2 linked regions of the Oryctolagus cuniculus genome follow. The protein of the gene in region 2 purifies or fractionates together with the protein of the main gene of each other region. This does not show direct contact. Links are inferred from orthologs where the notes say so. Each region holds a gene or a part of one and is shown on either strand. Other genes may lie near its edges.

Region 1 (3,850 bases), on a different chromosome or scaffold from region 2:
AAACATGATGCGCCACTAATACTGAGAACAAAGAGGGGAAGTGATCAGCAGCCGCTAGACTGCAAGGGCACGACGGGATTTTAATGAGATTTCCAACAGCGTTTCAAATACTCTCAGGGAATCAATCAGATATGGAGAATGACTGACCTTCGGATCTCACAAATGGTAAGTGTATCATATGTTACAGGGTTTCCTAACAGGAAAATTGGGTCCTAAAAACTTTATCTCAACCTCATTCTATTGGTTTGAGAAACAGTCTCCTATTTTTAAAATTACATGACTTAATATTTTCAGGTACAGTTAGGTTAATGCCATGAAAAAAGGCTCGTAGTTTTAAAAAGGAGCAAGCACCCCTTTTATTGGCTTTTGACACCTAGCAAAGAGGGCTCAGGGTGGAGAGGCAGGAGTGAGGGGTGAGGCAGGGGTTCAGGTGCAAGTCTGCTCCTGCTGAGGGCAGGAAGGGCGCAGGCAGGGTTCTGGACAACCAGGAGCAGGAGTGGCACCTGGACTGGAGCTGCCACAGAGGGCCGGACACAGGCCAGTGCCTCATCCTCTGGCCAGACACTACAGGAACCAATTCTTACCTTCAAGATTAACTTGAAAATACAAATCTCAAAGCATACTTACCAAAAATAGGTTATTTAGCCTTATATTACAAAGCATAGAAGACATTTGATTGTTTTGAAAAGAGAGCTGAAAAACTCTGGAGTTTTTCTTAATACTAAAAACTAATCCAGGCCAGCACCGCGGCTCACTTGGATAAACCTCCCACCTGTGGCACCGGCACCCCAGGTTCTAGTCCCAGTTGGGGCGCTAGATTCTGTCCTGGTTGCTCCTCTTCCAGGCCAGCTCTCTGCTGTGGCCTGGGAGTGCAGTGGAGGATGGCCCAAGTGCTTGGGCCCTGCACCTGCATGGGAGACCAGGAGGAGGCACCTGGCTCCTGGCTTCGGATCGGCGCAGCACACCGGCCATGGCAGCCATTTGGGGGGTGAATCAACGGAAAAAAGAGGACCTTTCTCTCTGTCTCTCTCTCACTGTCTAACTCTGCCTGTCCAAAAAAAAAAAAAAAAAAAAAAAAAATCCAGGAAACATTTAAAAATTCTACGACTACTATTTTAAAAAGGCACTTAAAACATTCCTTTCCTTTTTTAAGATTTATTGATTTATTATTTGAGAGGCAGAGGCAGAAAGAGAGAGGGGTCTTCCATCCTCTGTTCACTCCTGAATTGGCTGCAATGGCAGGAGCTGCACCAATCCAAAGCTAGGAACCAGGAGCTTCCTCAGGGTCTCCCATGCAGGTGCAGGAGCCCAAGGACTTGGGCCATCTTCCACTGCTTTCCCAGGCCATAGCAGATAGCTGGATTGTAAGTGGAGCAGTTGGGTCTTGAACGTGCCCACACAGGATGCCGGCACTGTAGGCAGTGGCTTTACCCGCTACACCACAGCGCCGGTCCCAAAAACATTAGTTTTCAATTCAACTCAAAATACATCTTTGTCAACTACATTTTAGACAAATGCTTTTTAAAAAAGCGCTTAATTTTGGTTCAGTGTTTCCTGTAGCCCAGTGATATTTACCATCCACAAGGCCAAAAAGTGTGGAGGACGGAGCCCCAGATTTCTGCAGAAGCTGAAAGTGCTTTTATCAGAAACAGATGAAGTCAGTGATTCGCTCTCTCACTGACGACATCCTGTAGTCGTTTAAGCAAAACATCGTCATTTTCCTGACAGAGGCGTTTGGCAGGTGATTCTGCCTCACTGTCAATGGCTATTGCTCGCTTCTTGGTCCTCTGTTCACCTTGCCTTATCATGTTGTTGATATCTTTCAAACTCTGCAAAAACAGAGGACAGCTGTGAGTAAAATGGGAGGGAAAGGGAAACTGCTGCAAACAAGCTAAGTGGCTTTCTTCCTCTTCTCTGTTCTCTAAATCTACACACTGGGGGAGAGATTATGTTTTTAATCTAGATGAACCTAATAAAGGCGGGTAGAACTGATTCTTTCTGGTAAATTTTAAAAACTGAATTTCCTTATGATTGTAGTTCTGAAAATAATAGTCCCCAGATTCCAGGCGGCAGCAGCAGCTACAAAGTTGTCAGAAATGCAAATCTCAAGCCTCTCCTATAACTGTTGAATCACGCATTCTGGGGGTGGGATTGAGCAATCTATCTTTAAAGACTTATTTACTTATTTATTTTAAAGACAGAGCAGTAGAAAGAGAGAGAGAGGGAGAGAGGGATAGAGGGGGAGAGAGGGAGAGAGGGAGAGAGATGGAGGGGGGAGGGAGGGAGGGAGAGAGGGAGGGTGAGAGAGAGAGAGAGAGGGAGGGAGGGAGAGAGAGAGGGAGGGTGAGAGAGAGAGAGAGAGGGAGAGAGGGAGGGAGATCCGTCGTCCACCCACCAGTTCACTCCCCGAGTGATTCTGATTTATAATTTCAAAATCACTGTCTCAGGAGTCAACTGTTCCAATCTTCAATATTATGCAACATTCTCTTCTAAACATACTTACTGGAAATGAATTTCTATCAAGAAAAACATTCTGAGACACACCACATCCCAGTCAACTCTGTTTTCTAAGCACAGCGAGAAAGCAATGGGTGTTTGTGAACAGGAGACTGAGGAGCTATGCTACTACTGAATGTAGACTGAAATTATAATCTGCCTCACTATAATTTCTTCCAGTTGATAAGAATTCTAGCTTTTGTCGAAATACTAAACTTATTTGCTTGAAAGTCCTTTAAATACCTGGAGATAGCAAACGTGTCCCTGACCCAGCTTCTTCATCGTACCGGGGAGAGGGAGATTAGCACAGAGATGTCCACGTGGAATACAGAAGGCCTCTGTTTCCAGACTTCCTGGCTGCCATCAGTCAAGCAGACCATAACTTTCTTTAAGCCTGCACGTGTACCATCCTGCATGTCTAACCACTTGCAGGTCTTTTTCACTGGTCCCTCAAGCTTGAACACTGGAGAGAATCACTGGACTATCACACTGTACATGCTATACAGTAGCTCGTCAACAGCAGTGGATTCAACTACCTCAACTGAGATACTGTCTTTTTTTTTTTTTTTTTTAACATATTGGTCTTGATCATTGGTAATACATCATTGTTAAAAATCCATACTTTATTAGTAATAATTTGCCAAAACAAAAACCAAGATTCATTACTGATGGATAACTTATGTATTTATTTGTATCTGTATATTTTTATTTATTATTTGTATTATTGTATATGTATTTATATGTATATAAATGACGAAATCTGTGTGCACCTTACCTTAGAAGGGCTGCCGTTGAATCTGTAGAGCAGGGCGCTCCTTGGCGTGAGGCCAGACCCATTCTTGTGTGGGGAAACATAAATAGAGTGCTGCTGGGAAACACGGCGTGGTGAGCCTGGCTGTTGCTTAATATGAGGAAAAGGAGAGAGTGGTGGCACATCCATCTGGAATAAACCAAAAGCCAGACTTTCTGTTTTTATTTTTTTAAGTGGGAGGGAGGGAGAGAAACAGACAAACAGACGCCATGCTCATCTGCTGGCTCAATCTCCAAATGCCTTCAATGGCCAAGGCTAGGCTAGGCTGAAGCTGGGAACTCAACTCAGGTCTTCCAGGTTGCAAAGACCCAAGTACTTGAGCCATCGCCTGCTATCTCCCAGGGTGCACAGTAACAGGAAGCTGGAATCAGGAGCAGAGCTAGGACTCAAACCCAGGCACTCTGATATAGGATGCAAGCATCCTCAGTAGGATTTTAATCACTACGCCAAATGCCTGTTCCCAAATTTTTTTTTTTTTGACAGGCAGAGTGGACAGTGAGAGAGAGAGACAGAGAGAAATGTCTTCCTTTGCCGTTGGTTCAC
Region 2 (5,397 bases):
CGTCATCTGTTGCTTCCCAGGGGATGGGTGAACAGGAAGCTGGAATCGGAAGCTGAGTGGGACCCAAATCCAGCCACTTTGATATGGAATGAGGGCATCCCAAGTGGTGTCTTAACAGCTGTTTAGGCCAAACAGCTGTTTCCTTCCGAAGTTCTTTGTCAACATGAGTCCAACTTTTTTTTTTAAGGACTTTTCTCCCTTTATCCGGGAGAAATAACTCTGTGTGTGTCTGTATATATGTTTAATATATATATGTGATGTTTATACAACTTTTTTTGTAATAACAAGAAAAAATGGAAACTTCCTTAAAATATAGAGGAGGCTTAGTGAATGACGGCTCATTCAACCGATGGAATACTAACTGCTATTAATGTTATTATTTAAATTTCAATTGTTTAATACAAAAATGAGTTCATAGCACAATTGTAATTAGACAAGGCATGAACACACCTGCTGGTGTGAAATGTGTGTCAGTGCACACATGTCTTCTTAAGAAAGTCCGGAAGGGTGGATGCTGTTATGAACATACAAAGGGGGTGTGTTCCTGAGTGATGCCTACTGGTGATCCTAGCCTACTTACTGTTTTCTGTATGGTAAAATTGTTGGTAATTACCAGAATCTAATTTTTAGTTTTTGTTTGGAACTTGGATATAGTTGCTTATTAACTTCTTGGTTCATAGCATACCCCTATTGTGAGTTTATATAGGGCCTCTCTCATTTTAACTTTGCTTCTTTTTAATAAGTTTTTATATTCATGAATTACTTTTAATGTCAGAACAACGTTTTAAAAAGATTTATTGATTTACTTGAAAGTCGGAGTTACACAGAGAGAGAGAGAGACAGAGAGAGAGAGACACAGAGAGAGGTCTTCCACCTGCTGTTTCACTCCCCAGATGGCCACGATGGCCGGGGCTGGGCCAAGCTGAAGCCAGGAGCTTCTTCCAGGCCTCCCACTTGGGTCCAGGGGCCCAAAAACTTGGGCCATCTTTGCTGCTTTCCTAGGTGCATTAGCAGGGAGCTGGATTGGAAGTGCAGCAGCCAGGACTTGAACTTGCACTCCTATGGGATGCTGGTGCTGCAGGCAGAGGCTTAACTGATTGTGCCACATGGCAGGCCCCAAAGTCAGAACAGTGAATAACGCTTGTACAAGCAGGGCGATGAAGGGCTTCACTTGTCTGTAAGAACATCAGGGGTGTCAGAAATTGTGAGCGCAGAGATAAGAACACTGGCACCAGTCATCTGGGACCAGGGCACATCATAGAGACCTCCTTTAGTCAGGGTTATCTCTGTGACAACTCTGCTTCCAAACAGTCTGCCGAAACACAGCCTTTACAGCCACACCTGGGTTTGAATTCTGACTTCCCCTGCTCACGGGTGGGCCGGCTTTGGGAGAGTCACTTCAGGGCTTGCTTTCTCAGCCGTATAACCGAGATACAATGTTATAGTGAGGATGAGACCTCTAACAGGCGTGGGAAGAAGTGCAAGCCGATAGTAACTGCCAGTTGGGGGATTCTGCTTCTCCGGATTTTCTTAGGCCATCAAACACCTCTAAGCGAAACCCACGGGGAGGGTCTCTCAGCTCTGCACCACACTGGCATCCATACCAGCGTCCTTCCTGGCTACGTGTGTTCTCTTGTTTGGTGCCAGCCATAACTTGCTGGTAGTGTTTAGGGGAAGCCCACACAAAACCCGTTGGGCACGCAGTGCGATGCTGTCTAAGGCAGTCACGCTGGGAGAGAAATGAGCAGCGTTCTACACGGGAACACTGGGGACGCCTCTGACCCCTGTGTGCCTACGACCTGAAGACTTCCCTCATCCCATGAGCCCCTCGACCCATCTGAGGCGAGGATCTACTCCCGGCGATCTTGTCCTATTCTGTCTCGGTTACTTAGATGTGCATTATGCAAGCTTCCTCCATTGCTAGCAATGAAAACTTGACTCGGGAATAACTTAGTGGTCAAGGTGGCACTTGCTCAAGTGTCCGGCAGCAGTGAAACCTTGGCGGATGGGCTGGAGTGGGGAGAAGGCAGGAGAGCAGGTGGAGGGAGGAAGGGGTTGTCTTCCAGGTGGAAGTTTGAGCTTGGGAAGCACTGGGTGACAACCTCTTTCATGAATAGGGACACTGTTGGCCACTTCCTCTTCCTTAGATGCGAAGCTGTATGCAGACCTCAATTACATTAGGAGGGCAAGTTTGAAAACACCAGCAATCCAGAACTTTTATTTTTTTTAACCAGTCATGAGAATCAGTCTGAAGCTAACCACTTGCCTAATTTTTTTTTTTTTTTTGCCAAATTTATTTAAGGTCTGGTCTGATTACTTCAGGGCCTTTGCTCATTTGAATGATCGCCTTAATATATCAGTGCTGTACCTGCAGACTGTGGGAGGGGAATTCTGCTGGAAATTTACACAGGCTGGAGGCTTTCATTGGGATTTCTCCTCTTACACCTGTGTCGTCTGTCAGATTGTGTCTGTGGCTAGTCTGTGAAGAGACTGAGCCCAAGACCCCGACACGGACACTACCTGCACACGGCAAAGTCAGGCTTAGAAATCAACCACCAGATTAGCGACTTTCGCTGCGTGCAAGCCCGGACGAACGCTGATTAAACACCATTACCTGGGGGGGCGGGGGTGGCACAGCAGACAATTCCCAGCACGCCCAGCATGGGGAGGGGTCCACGGGCTAATGCACCAGGAGCCGGATGTTAGGGAAGGGCTCCGGCCGCGGGCAGCGCAGGACGGGCTCGGCACCCACGCGGGGTCTGCAGTGGGAGGGGGCGCGCCGGCCCGGAGGCTCGGACGTGGGTCCCACGTGGCAGGGCCCGGCCGCGCGTCAGCCGCAGGGGCACCCCGGATGCGGCCGCGGCGCCCGGGATTCCTGGGATGTCTGAGGCGCGCGGGCGGCCTCCTCCCCGCCCCCGCCGCGGCCTCCGTGGGCATTTTCCGGCGAGGGGGGCCGCGAGCCCTTCCGAGAACGGCTCCTCCGCGCGGCCGTGCGCGGCCGGCGCGCTCCCCGGGAATGCAGGCGGCCGCACCGCGGTGAGAGCCCTCGGGCCCGGGCGCGCGGGGGTGGGCTTCCCGGCTTCCCGCCCGGCGGCGGCCCCGGCGCCCCGGCCCCTCTCCGCGCCCCCCCACCCCGCCCCGCGGCCGCGCGCGCCCCTCCCCCCGGCGCGGGCGGGGCTGCGGGCGCCCGACGCGGAAGCGCGGGAGGCCGCGCGCGCTCCCGGGGCCGCAGTCGGCGCGGGCGCGGCGGGCGCGGGGCGGGGCGAGGCGGCCGGGGAGGCGGCGGGCGCTCGCGCACGGGCCCGGCCGCCGCCTCGCCCCCTTCCCCTTCCCTCCCTCGGCCCGGCCGTCCCCCTCCGCACCCCTCCCCCGAGCGAATCACGCGCCCTCCTCTGACACTCGTAGCGGGCCCGAGCTCCGAATTTATCCTTCACGTGACCTGAGGGGGGTTGGGTGGTTGGCTGGGGACCGAGGGGGAGCAGGAAAGGAGGGAACGAAGTCTGCCGTTTCCCGGGCAACAAGCCCCGCCCGCCGGCTTGGGGCCGGGGGGGCGGGCGGAGGACGTCAGCACGTCAGCCGGGGTTTTGCGTTTTGATTGACAGTTGCCATAGCGACCGGGTCGGTCCGTCGCCATTTTGTTGGTTGGTTTTTTTTTAAACCCTTTCGCTTCCCGCCCGAATAATAATAAAAAGCCCCATTGGAGTGAGGCGGGGGTGGCGGCGGCAACCGCGGCGGGGGGATCCGGGGAGACTGCTGCCGTCGCTGCTGCTGATCGCGGCCCAGGTCGGGCTCGGGGAGCGGACACCCCGAGCGGGGGGTGCGGGCGCCGCCGCCGCTGCCGCCGCCGCTTCTGCTGCTGCTGTTCCTGCTGCTGCTGGTGGTGCCGCTGCCGCCGCCGGCCAGCGAGCGAGCGAGCGGGCGGGCGGGCGGGACCGGTGTGAGTGTGCGAGTGTGTGTGTGCGAGCGAGCGGGCGTGCGTGCGTGTGCGAGTGTCTGTCTGTCTGTGCGGGCGCTCGGGGGCGGGCGGTTCGGGCGCTCCTGGCGGAGAAGCCGCCGCCGCCGCCGCCGCCGCCGCCGCTCGGGCCCGGCGCTCCTCGCTGCGCAGGTTTGGAGCGCGCGCCATTTTGTGCGATTTACAAAATCCTCCTCGGGAAGAAGCCGCCGGCAGCGGCCGCCACTCGGCGCCCGGCCTCGCCGCCGCCGCCGCCGCCCTCCGCGCGGCCCCGCCGCCGGGACTCGGGGCCCGGGGACTGCGGTATTTGCCGGGGAGGGGGCTGTCGCCGCCCCGGCCCCCGGCGCCGCCGGACCCGCGAGCGCGAGAGACTGAGGAGGCTGCGGCGCGGCCAGGAGCCGGCCGCGCCGGGGGCGGCGAGAGGCGGCCGGGGCGGCGCTGGCTGCGGAGGCCGCGGCGGGAGCGCGGCGCGGGAGCCCGAGGCTGAGACTCACCGGAGGGAGCGGCGCGAGCGCCCCGCCATCGTCCCGGTGAGTGTCCGGCCCGGCCCGGCGCTCGGCTCCGCCGGGCCCGGCGGAGGGAGGGACCTGCCATTTTAGGAGGAGGCGCCGCGGGGCCCGGGGCCGGCCGCCGGGGGAGGGAGCCCGCAGCCGGGTCCCGGCGGGGCGGCGGGTGCGCGCGGAGGGAAAGTTGCGGAGGGTGGGAGCGGGGGCCGCGGCCTCCCGGGAGCCGGGCCTTCTCTGGTCGCCGGGGCGGAGGGAGGAGGCTGTGTTCCTCCTCCTCCTCCTCCTCTTCCTCCTCATCCTCTTCCCCCAGCTCCTCCCTCGTCCCTCCTCTAGGTCCCCACCAGTGTGGGAGCCGCCGGGGTTCTTCGCAAGGACAATGCACGGGTTAAGGGAAGCGGGGCCGCGCCGGGCGCCGGCGAAGGTCGGGGCCCGCTGGCTCGGCGGCCCTCGGGGGTCCGCGCCGGGTGGGGGTGGGGCGGGGGACGCGGCGTGCTCGGAAGTTGGGGCCGGAGTGCGGGGGAGCGGTGACCTGCTTAAGCCGCCGCGGAGACGCGAATTAAAATTGATACCTGTGTATTGCTACAAAACTTCGCGAGTCTATTTATAGGCACAGACCCGCCGAGGCTTCGCAGGCACCGGGGCCGCCGACTGTCTGAGCATTCGGCGAAGGCCTCCCCCCGCCCCCTCCAGCCTGAAACAGTTAAAAATGGCAAAATTAGTGAGTCAGTGGTTGCCTGTGCCTTTCGCCCGTCCCTGGATCCTAGGACTCCCATACTGCAGGTGCAGCGCTGGAATGCCAGCACCGTTTGCTTCTGGAATTCCGCCCCGACGGTCGGAAGAGACCCCCGTCTGCATTGTTTTCCGCATGTAGAGATTAGGGCAGATGGTGGCTGGCACTCCTCTCACGGCTTTGGGGATATTTTACCCCGTGTGCTGCCG

Evidence for each region. Proteins that work in one complex are often made in the same cells at the same time.
Region 1: the proteins of DYRK1A (region 2) and RBL1 purify together in Homo sapiens (affinity purification with mass spectrometry; 3 studies listed by BioGRID and IntAct, with this or other methods). This does not show direct contact. The link is inferred for Oryctolagus cuniculus from reciprocal best matches to the Homo sapiens genes DYRK1A and RBL1.

What each region holds. Positions count from the first base shown.
Region 1 is NC_091442.1:21,478,587-21,482,436, reverse strand, and holds the end of RBL1 (retinoblastoma-like protein 1), read right to left. Parts: intron 3,437-3,850; coding exon 3,272-3,436; intron 1,830-3,271; coding exon 1,659-1,829; 3' UTR 1,333-1,658; downstream 1-1,332. UniProt on the Homo sapiens protein: Key regulator of entry into cell division. Directly involved in heterochromatin formation by maintaining overall chromatin structure and, in particular, that of constitutive heterochromatin by stabilizing histone methylation.
Region 2 is NC_091435.1:7,581,592-7,586,988, reverse strand, and holds the start of DYRK1A (dual specificity tyrosine-phosphorylation-regulated kinase 1A), read left to right. Parts: upstream 1-2,227; 5' UTR 2,228-3,036; intron 3,037-3,566; exon of another isoform or gene 3,567-3,641; intron 3,642-3,717; exon of another isoform or gene 3,718-3,783; intron 3,784-4,358; exon of another isoform or gene 4,359-4,482; intron 4,483-5,397. UniProt on the Homo sapiens protein: Dual-specificity kinase which possesses both serine/threonine and tyrosine kinase activities. Exhibits a substrate preference for proline at position P+1 and arginine at position P-3.